Saccharomyces cerevisiae S288C: one gene and its partners. The protein of the gene in region 1 purifies or fractionates together with the protein of each later gene. This does not show direct contact. Each region holds a gene or a part of one and is shown in the gene's direction. Other genes may lie near its edges. The genes, in order: RPL10, RQC1, NMD3 and STM1.

The links.
Region 2: the proteins of RPL10 (region 1) and RQC1 purify together in Saccharomyces cerevisiae (affinity purification with mass spectrometry; 3 studies listed by BioGRID). This does not show direct contact.
Region 3: the proteins of RPL10 (region 1) and NMD3 purify together in Saccharomyces cerevisiae (affinity purification with western blotting; 4 studies listed by BioGRID, with this or other methods). This does not show direct contact.
Region 4: the proteins of RPL10 (region 1) and STM1 purify together in Saccharomyces cerevisiae (affinity purification with mass spectrometry; 2 studies listed by BioGRID). This does not show direct contact.

The regions. Positions count from the first base shown.
Region 1 is NC_001144.5:280,588-284,455, forward strand, and holds RPL10 (60S ribosomal protein uL16 RPL10), read left to right. Parts: upstream 1-2,339; coding exon 2,340-3,005; downstream 3,006-3,868. Other genes in the region: LAM6 (Lam6p), read left to right, coding at 1-356; RFU1 (Rfu1p), read right to left, coding at 432-1,034; BUD20 (Bud20p), read right to left, coding at 1,369-1,869; FMP25 (Fmp25p), read left to right, coding at 3,285-3,868.
Region 2 is NC_001136.10:1,131,992-1,137,018, reverse strand, and holds RQC1 (Rqc1p), read left to right. Parts: upstream 1-1,587; coding exon 1,588-3,759; downstream 3,760-5,027. Other genes in the region: chromatin-remodeling protein SWR1, read right to left, coding at 1-1,087; IRC3 (double-stranded DNA-dependent ATPase), read right to left, coding at 3,949-5,027. UniProt on the Saccharomyces cerevisiae protein: Component of the ribosome quality control complex (RQC), a ribosome-associated complex that mediates ubiquitination and extraction of incompletely synthesized nascent chains for proteasomal degradation.
Region 3 is NC_001140.6:442,042-446,640, forward strand, and holds NMD3 (ribosome-binding protein NMD3), read left to right. Parts: upstream 1-1,786; coding exon 1,787-3,343; downstream 3,344-4,599. Other genes in the region: ATP-dependent RNA helicase DBP8, read left to right, coding at 140-1,435; ATG7 (Atg7p), read left to right, coding at 3,672-4,599. UniProt on the Saccharomyces cerevisiae protein: Acts as an adapter for the XPO1/CRM1-mediated export of the 60S ribosomal subunit. Unlikely to play a significant role in nonsense-mediated mRNA decay (NMD).
Region 4 is NC_001144.5:438,168-441,943, forward strand, and holds STM1 (Stm1p), read left to right. Parts: upstream 1-2,299; coding exon 2,300-3,121; downstream 3,122-3,776. Other genes in the region: GID11 (Gid11p), read right to left, coding at 1-1,656; PCD1 (8-oxo-dGTP diphosphatase), read right to left, coding at 3,548-3,776. UniProt on the Saccharomyces cerevisiae protein: Ribosome preservation factor that protect a small pool of nontranslating, vacant ribosomes in cells under nutrient starvation conditions.

The DNA.
Region 1 (3,868 bases):
TGGAATTGAGCAAAGAAAAAGCAGATACACTCAAGCCGTTGCCCAGTGTTACATCTTTTGGATCACCTAGGAAAGTGGCAGCACCGGAGCTGACGATGGTACAGCCGGAGTCGAAACCAGAAGCTGAGGCGGAAATCTCAGAAATAGGCAGCGACAGATGGAGGTTTAACTGGGTGAACATAATAATCTTGGTGCTCTTGGTGTTAAATCTGCTGTATTTAATGAAGTTGAACAAGAAGATGGATAAGCTGACGAACCTCATGACCCACAAGGACGAAGTTGTAGCGCACGCGACTCTATTGGACATACCAGCCAAAGTACAATGGTCAAGACCAAGAAGGGGAGACGTGTTGTAACAGAGTAATCATGTAATATTGTATGTAAGGTTATGTATGTTCGTATGGTATGGAAAAAAAAAAAAAAAAAGGATGCTATGTGGAGAATGTAAGGCGTGGTAGCTCCGGATAATTCAGTCTGTAGGCTTCATCACGGGCAGTGGCCTGACTCTGAGAGCTTGCTCCGGTATTAAGTTGTGCGTTTGAAATTTTCTGGAAAAAAGAAATTGATTGGTTGAAGCTATACTCGTCGAAAGATTTCTTCGGCAGTGGTTGTTGCTCCACCTGCACGGGAGTTGTGTTTGCGTTTATGTTCGGCTTGGCTATATTATTAGCGAGTGATGTTTGCAATTTGCTGTATTGAGAATCAATTTGGGTGCGTAAGCTTTCAATAATTTTGCAGACCGCAGGCACTTCCAACTTTATGAGTTGCAGGTATTCTCTTTTATGAATATACGATGACGACGATGACGACGACGCATCCATGCGCAAAAGCTCAGGGTGTCTAGATAGTTTGTTAGTCAATAAATCCACATATCTAAAATAATAAATAAACGACAGCGACAAGTCGTTGGCCTGGAACGCACACTGTGCCTTTTCCAATATGCCGATGCATGTTTTCAGGTAAATTCTCAATGGTATCGCCGGATTGAAGCGATAATCCTTAGCGTCCTGAACCAATTGCTTACTAGACTTCATGACCTACCGGGGCCAGATAAAGATGCGGAAGGAAGAGAAAAAATGTATAGTGGTTGGTGAACCGCAACAATAATTCGTGCCAACACTTTAATCGAAGCAAAAATTGTCTTGTATGTTATTAATATTATCTATCTAACCATTGATTTACGTATAAAACTGTCGATGCTCATCGCCTAGCAATGAAAAAATTTTTTCTTTTTTTTTTCATTATTTCTCTTTGTTGCGTACTTTTTTTCATTGCGTTTCGCGGCAAAAGCGATTCGAGTTGACTGGAAGTGTGTTATACTATAAAAAGTGTATATGCCTATTTTTGGTTCTGATCTTTACTTTACTGTTAAGTACTGGCTGAGGCAGTAGACTCTGCCTCTGTTACGGCAGCGGTATTCGCCTCGGCATCAGCAGCCGCCCACGGTAGAGTAGGTTCTGTTGTTTTGACGTTTGCCAAGGTACTGTCCAAATGCTCCTTCAGCAAGGCCTCATTACTTTCCTTCTCCGGACCCACCGATTGCGTGATCTCCTGTACACGGTTCAAGAACTTGTTCAAATTGTAGCCCGCAGCAGCATCAGAGACTTCTTGTGTGTAAGGGACACCCCTCAACTCCTTGACTCTTCTTTTGTGCACTTTGCCCTTTAAATGCGTTTTTAACGCTATAGCAGTCTCCATGTATTTGGCACAGTGTATGCAATAGTGCTGACCAAGGCCCGGTTTGGTTTCATCCAATGGCTGGTTCAGAAGCTTCTGTACTGATTCCTTGGTGGACAAATCGTTATAGATCAGGTCCAAGTCTCGTGTTCTTCTTTTAGTCTTGTATCTCTTCACCGAATATCTACCCATGATGCGCTATTGTTTTATCTTCACTTGTCTGTGTGTTTAACTGCCTTTCAATTCACCTCATCTCATCTCCCGCTACTTTCCATATATAAAAGCAAAATTAATTTGCTTTTTCCCCTGTCAGTATAAAAAAATTTTCCGCAGGATATAGAAAAAAAAGAAATGAAATTATAGTAGCGGTTATTTCCGTGGGGTGCTTTTTTACACCTGTACATCTTTTCCCTCCGTACATTTTTTTTATTTTTTTTTTTGGTTTTTTTTTTTCGATATTTTTCCCTCCGAAACTAGTTAGCACAATAATGCTGACTAAGGAAACTTTTCATCTCAGAATTGATGGTCAGTTTGGTTTCTCTAGAGAATAGTTTATAAAAAGATGTTGATGTGGAGCAACCATTTATACATCCTTTCCGCAAGTGCTTTTGGAGTGGGACTTTCAAACTTTAAAGTACAGTATATCAAATAACTAATTCAAGATGGCTAGAAGACCAGCTAGATGTTACAGATACCAAAAGAACAAGCCTTACCCAAAGTCTAGATACAACAGAGCTGTTCCAGACTCCAAGATCAGAATCTACGATTTGGGTAAGAAGAAGGCTACCGTCGATGAATTCCCATTGTGTGTCCATTTGGTTTCCAACGAATTGGAACAATTGTCTTCTGAAGCTTTGGAAGCTGCTCGTATCTGTGCCAACAAGTACATGACTACTGTCTCCGGTAGAGATGCTTTCCACTTAAGAGTCAGAGTCCATCCTTTCCATGTCTTGAGAATCAACAAGATGTTGTCTTGTGCCGGTGCGGATAGATTGCAACAAGGTATGAGAGGTGCTTGGGGTAAGCCACACGGTTTGGCCGCTCGTGTCGACATTGGTCAAATTATCTTCTCTGTCAGAACCAAGGACAGCAACAAGGATGTTGTCGTTGAAGGTTTGAGAAGAGCCAGATACAAGTTCCCAGGTCAACAAAAGATTATTTTGTCTAAGAAGTGGGGTTTCACCAACTTGGACAGACCAGAATACTTGAAGAAGAGAGAAGCTGGTGAAGTCAAGGACGACGGTGCTTTCGTTAAGTTCTTGTCCAAGAAGGGTTCTTTGGAAAACAACATCAGAGAATTCCCAGAATACTTTGCTGCTCAAGCTTAAGTTCTTTTCAAACATTTGAACTAACTTAAAAGAGAAATTTTTTTGATTTAAATTCTAGTTTATTAAACAGTAAATATATTTATACATTATTGTAATACATATAATTATGTGTTTTTTTAAAGTTCAGCATGTTGGGTAGTGATATATCCTGAAGTCAATGGACACTGTTGCTTTTTGTATACCAGCAGGAAAAAAAAAAGCCTGAGCTGCAGTAACGAAGAATTGTTGAATGCGTCTAACAAGAAAGGGAGCAATCGATAACAGGGACGTGCGCCGCTAATGTCATTCAGATTATTCACGAGGACTTCTCAACGTCTCCCTCGCCTTAACTGGGTTAGTCCCATCAGGCGATACGCCAAACAACCTCAATACGATGAAGCAGAGTTGTTTGCAGAGAACATTAACCATGGCGCATATAAAGCAAAGAAAAGGCCATCAGACGAGCATTTCCAATGGCCTGAGAAGTCTCCTGATCAGATCACAAAGGAATCTGAACTCCAATGGGAAAGGATGGCGAAATTATCTGCTGTTGGGCAAGGGATCCTCATTCTCGTGGTAGTGGGTGGGTTGGGAACGGCCTACTTGCGTTGGCCAGAATTAAAATCCTGGTGGTTAATCAAGATGAATGGCGGTCGCATAAATGCAACGCAAGAGCAAAGTGGACAGGATTCGTTGGAAAAATTGATCAGACAAAAGGCCAAAAATCTATTAAGGGAGATTCCTCAAGTGCCTGCCTTTCAACTTGGAATAGATCATCCTGGTGTATACATATGGGGAAGGTGTCATTCTAAGGACTCATTGTTCCCTGTTAGAGTACCTAATTTGGATGGTCGTAAATTCAGAGATATCCTATTAGCTCCCTC
Region 2 (5,027 bases), on another chromosome or scaffold:
TCATATGAATACCTTGGTTAATTAAGTGATCGGTATGGATTTGCAGATCTTGTTGTTTATAGAAATATGAAATCGGGTCTGGTTTATATGTTATGATAGTCTTGATTTCCTTGGATGTTATAGGTTGTAGTGAGTCCGTTTCTTTGTCATACTTCAATGCGCCATTTTCAATACCTTTTTTGAGTCTCGATAAAAGCCGTCTTTGTTCGTCGATGTATTTATTATATTCTTCCAGCGTTAAATCGTCTTCTAATGACTTAAAGGAAGCGATGTATTCGTGCAAGCTTTCGTATCCCGGCTTGACTACATGCAACGGGTTCGTTATGGTTTGCTTTGGAGGATGGACTACCAGTTTTATTCTAGGCTTCTTTTTCTTTCTACCTCTTTTTTTCTTTATATCTTCCTCTTCGGATGATGTGGTGAAATAAAAATTATCACTATAATGTTCACTAGTATTTTCAAAGGAGCTATCATCAGAAGGACACTTTATAGTGAAGGCTTCAGAGGGTTCTTCAACTTTTGCGATGTGATCATATCTCTCTTCAGCTATATGTTCATGCAATGGCAGTGGATTTTCCTTTCTTTCACTTTTGAACTTCAAGGACTTCGCTGCTTCTCTCTTCTTCAAATGTTGTATTGGTCTTTTTTGCGGTACTATAGATTTCCTATTTGAATGATCACTTAGTTTGTATTTTAGCTCCTCACATTTATTTCGTACTAATGGTGCTATGCTTTCTAACTTCAGTTCTATATCACCCTTTTTCTCATTAGTCGTTTCTGAACTAACAACTGTCGATGTCCTGAGGTTTCGCCTTCTGCGAGTAAGATCACCATTCGTGCCTTTCTTGGCTACGTCATCAGTGAATTTTTCTCCTCTCTCCTCTAACGACAAGTGTGTTTCCCTGAGAAACTTCTGAAAACTTTCAGAATCATTAAAATGGGTTGGATCATAATCTACCAATGAAACAAACTCTCTTAAATGGAACAGTTCATTCGTCAGAAGATCATACCTAAACTTCAAATCCGCCAGATCCTGTTCACCACCAGCCTTTTTGTCTTTCGCATGCGATTTACGAGATGTGGTCATATATTCTTGTAATGCAATAACTTGGAAAATGCAAAGAGCAGTTAGAATTCATAAATTTTCAGCTTAAGGAAATATTTTCTAAGAGTTAAAATGGTATTGTTGAATACCTCTCAAATGCAGTAATCGAATGCTTTGGGTCTTATCTAGTTTAAAGCTCAAAATCTATCCTTTTTGCACGTAAACACTTTAGAATCCCGCTATCCCTTTGCACTCTTTCTTCAAGTCTCCTCTTTTTTTTTTTTCTCGTAAGTTGTCGCGAAACGCCACCGAAAAATCTTAAGGAAATAATATTAAAAACTGAAAAAAAAAAAATTGAGAAAGTATTACCCTCCCTTAATAATCGTATAGAGGTATAAACGGGTAACATTATGCGAGCAATATGTTCACTACTGCATCAACGTATAGTGAAAAATGTCCATAGGTAGTACATACAGTCCACCAGTTGAAGGTTAACATACAGGTCGTTGAATCATCTAAATATATTTGTAAAGTACTCGAACATGAGCTCTAGAGCATTAAGGAGATTACAAGATGATAATGCTCTGCTAGAGTCGCTGCTATCGAATTCAAATGCGAATAAAATGACGAGTGGTAAAAGTACTGCCGGTAATATTCAGAAACGGGAGAACATCTTCTCTATGATGAATAACGTACGTGATTCAGATAATAGCACTGATGAAGGACAAATGTCTGAGCAGGATGAAGAAGCTGCTGCTGCTGGGGAGCGTGATACTCAAAGTAATGGTCAACCTAAAAGAATTACACTAGCATCCAAGTCTTCTAGAAGGAAAAAGAATAAAAAGGCAAAAAGGAAGCAAAAAAACCATACCGCCGAGGCTGCAAAAGACAAGGGTTCCGATGATGATGATGATGATGAAGAATTCGACAAGATTATCCAACAGTTCAAAAAAACTGATATATTGAAGTACGGTAAGACTAAAAATGATGACACTAATGAGGAAGGTTTCTTCACGGCATCTGAACCAGAGGAAGCATCTAGCCAACCTTGGAAGTCATTTTTAAGCTTAGAAAGTGATCCGGGCTTCACAAAGTTCCCCATTTCATGTTTGAGGCATTCTTGCAAATTTTTTCAAAATGATTTCAAGAAATTGGACCCCCATACGGAATTCAAACTTTTATTTGACGATATATCTCCAGAGTCTCTTGAAGATATTGATTCGATGACATCCACACCTGTCTCCCCTCAGCAGCTGAAACAGATTCAGAGACTGAAAAGATTAATTAGAAACTGGGGCGGAAAAGATCATAGATTGGCACCTAATGGCCCCGGAATGCACCCGCAACATTTGAAGTTTACCAAGATCAGAGATGATTGGATCCCAACTCAAAGAGGTGAGCTCTCTATGAAACTTTTAAGTTCTGATGATCTTTTAGATTGGCAATTATGGGAAAGGCCGTTAGATTGGAAGGATGTTATCCAAAACGATGTCAGTCAGTGGCAAAAATTCATTTCTTTTTATAAGTTCGAACCTTTAAATTCCGACCTGAGCAAGAAATCAATGATGGACTTCTACTTAAGTGTTATTGTTCACCCTGATCATGAAGCCCTTATAAATTTGATTTCTTCTAAATTTCCGTATCATGTGCCTGGACTGCTACAAGTTGCTTTGATATTTATTAGGCAAGGTGATAGATCAAACACTAATGGATTGTTACAAAGAGCACTCTTTGTCTTTGATAGAGCTTTGAAAGCAAATATTATTTTCGATTCCTTGAATTGTCAACTACCTTATATATACTTCTTCAACAGACAGTTTTACTTGGCAATATTTAGATACATCCAATCTCTTGCTCAAAGAGGTGTTATAGGAACTGCTAGTGAATGGACAAAAGTTCTCTGGTCACTGAGCCCATTGGAAGATCCTTTAGGATGCAGGTATTTCCTCGATCACTATTTTCTATTGAATAATGACTATCAGTACATTATAGAATTATCCAACTCTCCATTAATGAACTGTTATAAACAGTGGAATACTTTAGGATTTTCCTTGGCGGTAGTACTAAGCTTCCTAAGAATAAATGAGATGAGTTCCGCCCGCAATGCGCTTCTAAAAGCCTTTAAGCATCATCCTTTACAACTGTCAGAACTTTTCAAGGAGAAACTCTTGGGCGATCATGCGCTAACTAAAGATTTATCCATTGATGGCCATTCGGCAGAAAACTTGGAATTAAAGGCATATATGGCCCGCTTCCCGTTACTTTGGAATAGAAACGAAGAGGTAACATTTTTGCATGATGAAATGTCGAGTATTTTACAGGATTACCATAGAGGAAACGTTACAATCGATTCAAATGATGGGCAAGATCACAATAACATTAACAACTTGCAATCACCTTTCTTTATTGCGGGAATCCCAATTAACTTATTAAGATTCGCCATACTATCTGAGGAGTCTTCTGTAATGGCTGCAATTCCATCATTTATCTGGTCTGATAATGAAGTATATGAGTTTGACGTATTACCACCAATGCCTACGTCAAAAGAATCAATCGAAGTGGTTGAAAACATCAAAACCTTTATTAATGAAAAGGATTTAGCTGTCCTTCAGGCAGAAAGAATGCAAGATGAGGACCTGTTGAATCAAATTAGACAAATATCTTTGCAACAGTACATTCATGAAAATGAAGAGTCAAATGAAAATGAGGGTTAATAAGAAATGTTGCAGCTCATTTTCTAGTACGCAGAGTAAGGCTAAAGCACTTATTTGAATTTAACGTTATTCATTGCATAGTTCAGAAAGGGTGTGATCCAAAAGAAAATGCATATACGAGTGGTCCGACGTTTACATATGTACTAGTGACTGTATATTAATATATGCACATTTATGTAGCTACGGATTTCACTTTATAAAAGATCTTCTTTTTTGATATTCTAATATTCGTAACAATGATTTCAACGGGTAGACAGGTGCCAAACTGCTGGCAAAGATTAAGTTGGAAGCATCTCCTTTCGTCATCTTAGTATTTACATAAGTAGTAACATCATCCAAAGATAATCTAATAAAATCTTTTGAGGACTCACCATATACTTTCTTTAGCTTTCTGAAAACAAAGTCTCTTTGTTTTGACGTAGGAACTGTTTGTCTCCATTTCGAGTATTTACTAGATATTGCCTGGTATTGCATTGTTTGTCCTTCCAAGTCCGAATTTAGAGTATTTATGATTTTTTCCACCTTTGACATTACATTCCAAAGATTAGCGTCTTTTATTATACTTTTTGGAACATAGTCCGCGTATTTATTTGTTATAAAACACGGTAATTGTCGATACATTTTTAGATGATATACCATCGACAATTTGTCTTCGGATTTTTCTTTGTATATTCTCAAATGATTCTTACCTTTTAAAGGGAGGCCCCACGCATTTGAGGCAAATTTCACCCACGGATATTGTGAGTTCATCAACAGCTCCATTTCTTTTACAGCTTCAGAAGCTTCATCAAACTCCTTGCCAGATGGATATGAGTTATTGCTCTGTGTAAAATTCCTAAAACTATCAAAGGAGCACAAGGTTAAATCAACCGAATTTGCACTGTGAATCCAATCGGCAACGCTATTTCTTTCAGTTACATTTTCCATTGCTGCTTCATCAGTCTGAAATAAAGCCCTTAACCTTTCGTCGATTTTTTGTTGTTTAGCTATTATCTCTCCTTGGATTGCTTTTAAATCTTCAACTGTAGCATCATCAAATTCGATATCATCACTCCTTATACCCAGTAGAGTGGGCGCTGAAACCACTCCAACACTAGAAGCTCCAATGAAGTCGATGATATGACAGTGGTCTTTCGAATGGTGTAACCGTAAACCTCTTCCAATCATTTGAATCAAAAGTGAACGCGATTTTGTGGGCCTACACAGTAGTATACAATCAATATTTGGCATGTCCGTTCCTTCTGTGAATATTCCACAGTTCATGAGTA
Region 3 (4,599 bases), on another chromosome or scaffold:
ACCTCATCGCGGATTGTAAATAGTAAATATAAACTGGCAATTTACTTAGTTTTTGAATAAATAATTGTATAGGAATATTATCAGTCGTATAATACAGACGCTTTAGATCTCCGTAGCATCATATCAGAAACTTTTCAAGATGGCAGACTTTAAATCTTTAGGTCTTTCAAAATGGCTTACGGAATCCTTAAGAGCTATGAAAATTACTCAGCCAACCGCTATCCAAAAGGCTTGTATTCCCAAAATCTTAGAAGGAAGAGATTGTATTGGTGGTGCCAAGACTGGTTCTGGTAAAACTATTGCATTTGCAGGGCCTATGCTGACTAAATGGTCCGAAGATCCGTCAGGGATGTTTGGAGTGGTCTTGACCCCAACCAGAGAGTTAGCCATGCAAATTGCCGAACAATTTACTGCACTTGGTAGCAGTATGAACATTCGCGTGTCAGTTATAGTTGGTGGTGAAAGCATCGTTCAGCAGGCATTGGATTTACAAAGGAAGCCGCACTTTATTATTGCCACGCCTGGACGTCTGGCACATCATATCATGAGCAGCGGAGATGATACCGTTGGAGGGCTAATGAGAGCTAAATATTTAGTTCTAGATGAAGCCGATATTTTGCTAACTAGCACGTTTGCCGATCATTTAGCAACATGTATAAGTGCTCTACCTCCCAAGGATAAGAGACAAACACTTCTATTCACTGCAACTATAACGGACCAAGTAAAGTCGTTACAAAATGCACCAGTGCAGAAAGGGAAACCCCCATTGTTCGCTTACCAAGTAGAAAGTGTAGATAATGTGGCTATTCCATCGACGTTGAAAATAGAGTATATCTTGGTTCCAGAACACGTCAAAGAAGCATATTTGTACCAATTATTAACATGCGAGGAATATGAGAATAAAACCGCTATAATATTTGTAAATAGAACAATGACCGCGGAGATCCTTAGAAGAACCCTGAAGCAGTTGGAAGTGAGGGTAGCGTCGTTGCACTCTCAAATGCCCCAACAGGAAAGAACAAATTCCTTACATAGATTTCGAGCTAACGCTGCAAGAATCCTCATCGCTACAGATGTAGCATCCAGAGGTTTGGATATCCCAACTGTTGAGCTTGTAGTGAATTACGATATACCTTCAGACCCAGATGTATTCATCCATAGATCTGGTCGTACGGCCCGTGCTGGCAGAATTGGTGACGCCATATCATTCGTTACCCAGCGAGATGTTTCTAGGATACAGGCCATTGAGGACCGTATCAACAAGAAGATGACAGAGACAAACAAGGTACACGATACCGCTGTAATAAGAAAAGCCTTGACCAAGGTAACCAAGGCGAAGAGGGAATCGCTGATGGCAATGCAAAAGGAAAACTTCGGTGAGAGAAAAAGACAGCAAAAGAAGAAGCAAAATGACGGGAAAAGTTTGCGCTCTTGAAAAATTCTAAATAAGATTTAAAGACGTACATATCGTACAATCTGGATACTGTTTTCCAGGACAACTGATAGATACAATTTTGGCACATATGAAGTATGTTTCTATATAACGGGTGAGAAAATCGCTGTAAATTCAATTACGTACAATCACCGACGGGTAACTTATTTTTTTTTCTTTTTCTCTTGTAGTTGGAAAATTTTTTGAAGCTCATCGCATTGGAAAAGAAAAATTACTAGCAGTTGTGATGATTTAACTATGTTTTGAGGAACCTTGGCTTTATCTTTTATTTGTCGCCTGGTACATAACACTACATTTTATTGTCTAATAAACGTTGAGGAATTTGACAAAAGGATGGAATTCACACCTATAGATCCGCACCAGCACCAAAATGCTGCTACTCTTCTATGTTGTAACTGTGGTACCCCAATCGATGGGTCCACTGGGCTGGTTATGTGTTATGACTGTATCAAACTGACTGTGGACATTACTCAAGGTATTCCAAGAGAAGCGAACATTTCATTTTGCAGAAACTGTGAAAGATTTTTGCAACCACCTGGACAATGGATCAGAGCAGAATTAGAATCTAGAGAATTACTGGCCATTTGTTTGCGTCGTTTGAAGGGCCTAACAAAAGTCAGATTAGTGGATGCTTCATTCATTTGGACAGAACCCCATTCTAGACGTATTAGAATTAAACTTACCGTGCAGGGAGAAGCCATGACAAATACTATTATTCAGCAAACTTTCGAAGTAGAATACATTGTTATTGCGATGCAATGTCCAGACTGTGCCAGATCCTACACTACAAATACTTGGAGGGCTACTGTCCAAATTAGACAAAAAGTGCCTCACAAGAGAACATTTTTGTTTTTGGAACAACTGATTTTGAAACATAATGCTCATGTGGATACCATTTCCATTAGTGAAGCTAAGGACGGGTTGGATTTCTTCTATGCGCAAAAAAACCACGCAGTTAAGATGATTGATTTTTTGAACGCTGTTGTTCCGATTAAACATAAAAAGTCTGAAGAACTTATTTCTCAAGATACACATACTGGTGCATCTACTTATAAATTTTCATATTCTGTCGAGATTGTTCCTATCTGTAAAGATGACTTGGTCGTTTTACCAAAAAAACTGGCTAAATCTATGGGTAACATTTCTCAATTTGTTCTATGTTCTAAGATTTCTAACACTGTCCAGTTTATGGATCCGACTACTTTGCAAACCGCGGATCTGTCACCATCTGTGTACTGGAGGGCTCCATTCAACGCCCTGGCTGATGTGACCCAGTTGGTGGAGTTCATTGTTCTGGACGTGGATTCTACAGGTATAAGCAGGGGAAATCGTGTCTTAGCTGACATTACTGTTGCTAGAACGTCTGACTTGGGTGTTAATGACCAAGTCTACTACGTCAGGTCTCATCTCGGTGGTATTTGCCATGCAGGTGATAGTGTTATGGGTTATTTCATTGCAAACTCGAATTACAACTCAGATCTTTTTGATGGGTTAAATATCGATTATGTGCCTGATGTAGTTCTTGTGAAGAAATTGTATCAAAGAAAGAGCAAAAAGAGCAGACACTGGAAGTTAAAGAGAATGGCTAAGGAACACAAAGATATCGATGCATCCTTAGATTACAATTCAAGAGCTCAAAAGCAAGAAATGGAACGTGCAGAAAAGGACTACGAATTATTCTTACAAGAATTAGAAGAGGATGCTGAATTAAGACAAAGTGTTAACCTATACAAAAACCGCGAAGCAAATGTACCTCCTGAAGAGCATGAAATGGATGAAGACGAGGATGAAGACGCTCCACAAATCAACATTGATGAATTATTGGACGAGTTAGATGAAATGACATTAGAAGATGGAGTCGAGAACACACCCGTTGAATCTCAGCAGTAAAAAAACACCAAAGAATGGAGAGTAGTATATACTCTTAACAAACACTAGCATTTCAGTTTATCTATATACATATATATGGATGTAAAATGTACTTTATGGAAGAACAAGCCACCACATGTTGAAAACTAGATAGGCAAGCAAGATTTTTCATTTGTAGAGCTCTTACGCAAGATTTTTAAACTTCCGCTTTTTTAATCCATGAGATTCCTTTGGACACCCTTTCCGGCACGGCAAAACAAAAAAATTAAGGGAACTCATTATTTTACGATGCTACTTAGATAACTAAAGTTCATTATATTTCAACAAATATAAGATAATCAAGAATAAAATGTCGTCAGAAAGGGTCTTAAGTTATGCACCAGCTTTTAAATCATTTCTGGATACATCTTTTTTCCAAGAATTATCGAGATTGAAACTCGATGTTCTGAAATTAGATTCAACATGCCAACCACTTACTGTGAATCTAGATTTACACAACATTCCTAAATCTGCTGATCAAGTTCCATTATTCTTAACAAATAGAAGCTTTGAAAAACACAATAATAAGCGTACTAATGAAGTGCCTTTACAGGGCAGTATTTTCAATTTTAATGTATTAGACGAGTTTAAGAATCTTGATAAGCAACTATTTTTACATCAAAGAGCATTGGAATGCTGGGAAGATGGAATAAAGGATATCAATAAGTGTGTTTCTTTTGTGATTATTAGTTTTGCTGACCTAAAAAAGTACAGGTTTTATTACTGGTTAGGTGTTCCCTGTTTTCAAAGACCCTCTTCAACAGTTTTACATGTGCGGCCAGAGCCGAGTTTAAAAGGGCTGTTCTCAAAGTGTCAAAAATGGTTTGATGTCAATTACTCAAAATGGGTGTGTATACTGGATGCAGACGATGAAATAGTAAATTATGACAAGTGTATTATTCGAAAAACTAAAGTTTTGGCGATAAGGGACACTAGTACGATGGAAAACGTCCCTTCTGCTCTAACCAAAAATTTTCTCAGCGTGTTGCAATACGATGTTCCTGACTTGATAGATTTCAAACTATTAATTATTAGACAGAACGAAGGTAGCTTTGCATTAAATGCTACATTTGCTTCTATTGACCCACAATCATCCTCAAGTAACCCAGATATGAAAGTTTCTGGATGGGAAAGGAATGTGCAAGGTAAGCTAGCACCACGTGTTGTTGATTTAAGTTCATTGTTAGATCCTTTAAAAATTGCTGACCAATCCGTGGATTTAAATTTGAAGCTAATGA
Region 4 (3,776 bases), 160 kb from region 1:
TCTCCTTACCCTGAATGAACATCGTCTCTTGTATGGATGAGCTACGTCACTTGATGAACTACCTTTCGTAGAAAACAGAACCGATTCGTTACTAATTTTATCCATAACTTTCGGAAAAGGTAGAATTTGCGGCTCCAAATACTTTTTTGGGATTCTTTGAGCCATAGTTATCCATGGTTCTGTGGTTACATTTGGCATAGAGGGCAGCGAAAATCTTCTTCTTGATAAAGACCGATAATCCGCCCCTTGTAATTCATTTTTGCTATCATTACTTTCGTTTTCGTTGTTATTATTTGTGGTGAAATTATGATTTGTATTATGCTTCCGTTCGTTTATATATTCCATATTAACTTTATCAGGAATAACAATAACTTGGTGGTTAACGTAGTTTCTTGTATCTACAACGTGTACTCTGCCCTGATGTTCAGAAATGAATAATAAATCATCTAGGCCATAACTGAACCTACAGACTCTAAATGCACCGTTGTGGGAATGTGGTCTAGTCGAACTAATTTCTGCCATGGGAGTAGCCATGTTTCTGATATCATAAATTGCGCAAGTACCATTTTGAAATACCGTCGCAAATTGCAAGTCGTTTTCGGAAAAAGAGTTATAAAACCCATGGTCTGAATTTGGAGCTTCATATATGTTTTCGATATATTCTGATTCATCAGGTAACGCAAACCGTGGTATCCGTCTAACACGATTGACAGAACTACCCCAGGAAGGATGATTATCGTAATGTAAGGAGAATTGGTTGGTTAATTCATTTTGATTGTAAACAGCAAATTTATTAGAATCGCCAGACACTACCATCGTTTGACCATCATGTGACAAAGAAGCGTTATTCAAAGGAAATTTTAAATCCGCATAACGCTTCACTAGTGTTACATCTCTATTACTTACATCGCATTGGTAAAGATGACCATCATTGTTGCATGCAAAAAGATCAAACTGCATACTGGCCCTGTCATAAAGTGTGACACAATTATTGATGAACTGGCCCAACGTAAAAGTCATCATTGTGTCCGTTTCTTGATTATAAAACTCCACGATGCCCTTCCAGATATTAGGATTTGAATAATGTGAATTTATAGGGAAACTAATATTTTTGGAAATATTAATCGGTTGGGAAGGTGGCGGCAACGAAATATTTGCATCTTGAGCTAAACGGTTCCAATTAGAAGGGAATCCCTTATCATCAGAACCGATTAGACCACCACAAACAGTCAACCCATTTAATTCCGTGAAACATCTCGGCTTAAAGTTGAACTCTACCAGTTTCTCGGAAGGAACATGTAAATTTTTGGAGATATACGAGCCCGTTGTCCTAGAACCTTTTGTAGACGTTTTTTCAGTAGAGTTTTTACCACTGTTACTCGGTTGAATAGAATTATGTCGCCTTACTGGAGACCTCAATACGGAAGAATCCGTATCTAGTACTCTTATCGAATGATCGTAAATATAATACAGTTTACTCTGGTTCATGGAGCCTGGTTTGATACAATCCCGCAACTGCCAATGGTTTATGGAGACCTTGGCATCGTAGAGTTCTAAAGCAGGCATCATATAGTTTTGGTAAACCTTATCAGAGCCAGTATTTAACCGTTCATCTTGCAGCGCCTCCTTAGATTGCCCCGTGCCATCAATGGTCATTCTTTAACACGTATACTTTTGTAACTTATTGCTGTTTTTCTACCACTTTATTCGATCTTACTTGTCGTTGCTTAATCAGCAAAAGTTTTGTACTAGAATAAAGTTGTAATAGGCTTTTAATCCAGAGTCTCCTCCTCCTCACTTTCTGATCATCACCCCTTATTGCCTCAGAAAAGAGATCATACTCCGCTTTAAAGCCGTTCAATGTCACGTGACACAAAGTTGTAGCCGTATAACATATGGCGCTACCATGTTGTTATTTAGACGGGTAACATCACCGTTTAGAAAGATAAAGGAAAGTGAAATTATTGGAATGGAAAGTGTTCCCAAAAGTTCGCACCAACGCAAAAAGAAATTTTTTTTTCAATTTTGATATCATCGTTGCGTAGAGGAAGCCCTAACTGAGTAGAGAAATTATATGGTATTTTCCTTGTAATATTTGATTTTGAGTCGATATCCCCTTTGTTCTTCTTCCTTCCTTCGCTTGTTTTAGTTGTATACTTGGTTTATTGTGGAAGATTTTTTTTTCTGCTTCGTAGTTTTAAATTAGAAGTTATTTCTTTGCAAATTTCTCTTCCCCCCACAGTATTCTTTTAGAGGTGAAGTAGAAATAAACCAAGAAAGCATACACATTTTATTCTCAATGTCCAACCCATTTGATTTGTTAGGTAACGACGTCGAAGACGCTGACGTTGTCGTTTTGCCACCAAAGGAAATCGTCAAGAGCAACACTTCCTCCAAGAAGGCTGACGTCCCACCTCCATCCGCTGACCCATCCAAGGCTAGAAAGAACAGACCAAGACCTTCTGGTAACGAGGGTGCTATCAGAGACAAGACCGCTGGTAGAAGAAACAACAGATCAAAGGATGTCACTGACTCTGCCACCACCAAGAAGTCCAACACCAGAAGGGCCACTGACCGCCACTCTAGAACTGGTAAGACTGACACCAAGAAGAAGGTTAACCAAGGTTGGGGTGATGACAAGAAGGAATTGAGTGCTGAAAAGGAAGCTCAAGCCGATGCTGCTGCTGAAATTGCTGAAGACGCTGCAGAAGCTGAAGACGCTGGTAAGCCAAAGACCGCTCAATTGTCTTTGCAAGACTACTTGAACCAACAAGCTAACAACCAGTTCAACAAGGTCCCAGAAGCTAAGAAGGTTGAATTAGACGCTGAAAGAATTGAAACTGCTGAAAAGGAAGCTTACGTTCCAGCAACCAAGGTCAAGAACGTCAAATCTAAGCAATTGAAGACCAAGGAGTACTTGGAATTTGATGCCACTTTTGTTGAATCTAACACTAGAAAGAACTTCGGTGACAGAAACAACAACAGCAGAAACAACTTCAACAACCGTCGTGGTGGTAGAGGCGCTAGAAAGGGTAACAACACTGCTAACGCTACTAACTCTGCTAACACCGTTCAAAAGAACCGTAACATTGACGTTTCTAACTTGCCATCTTTGGCTTAAGCCTTATATATGAATAATTCCAACTGAAAGAATCCAATAACAGTGTTCTACTTTCTGTTTCTATTACTATTATTATTTTAATTGGTTATTTACTATATAATTTGCAAGTGAAGATGATCATGCTGGCAAACCAAAGAATAAAATTGGGTTGACATCCAATCGAGAATATGACATATCATTTTGTTTTATTTAAGCAATAAAAAATAAATGACTTTTAATTTACTTTTCAATTTTCTTTTTTTTTTTTTCACTTCTGAGATGTGCAAGCGTGTAGTTTGTTTGTATTTGTATAACAATTTCATCATTAGTCATTCTTCATTAAAAACTTTTTGTTATCGATTAAGGACATCCAGTATGATTCTTTTTCTCTCATCTTGATTATCTCTTGAGAGTATTGTTAGGCAACGCATTATACCACAGTTTTTTTTACCAAAGCGAGCGGCACTCCAGCAGGTGCTTCATGTAGTATTCAGGTATCACATCGCTATATTTTAAGTTTCTGTCGCCGTTGATCATTCCTATCTCCCATTCACTTCTTCCGTTCGGTTGCATCTGATTACCATAGTCATGTAGTCCAACTATCAAATCTTCGTGCCCTAGTTCTCCTTTTAACTTTTCGTCCATTAGTCCATTAGCTATACATGAAACGTCGAAT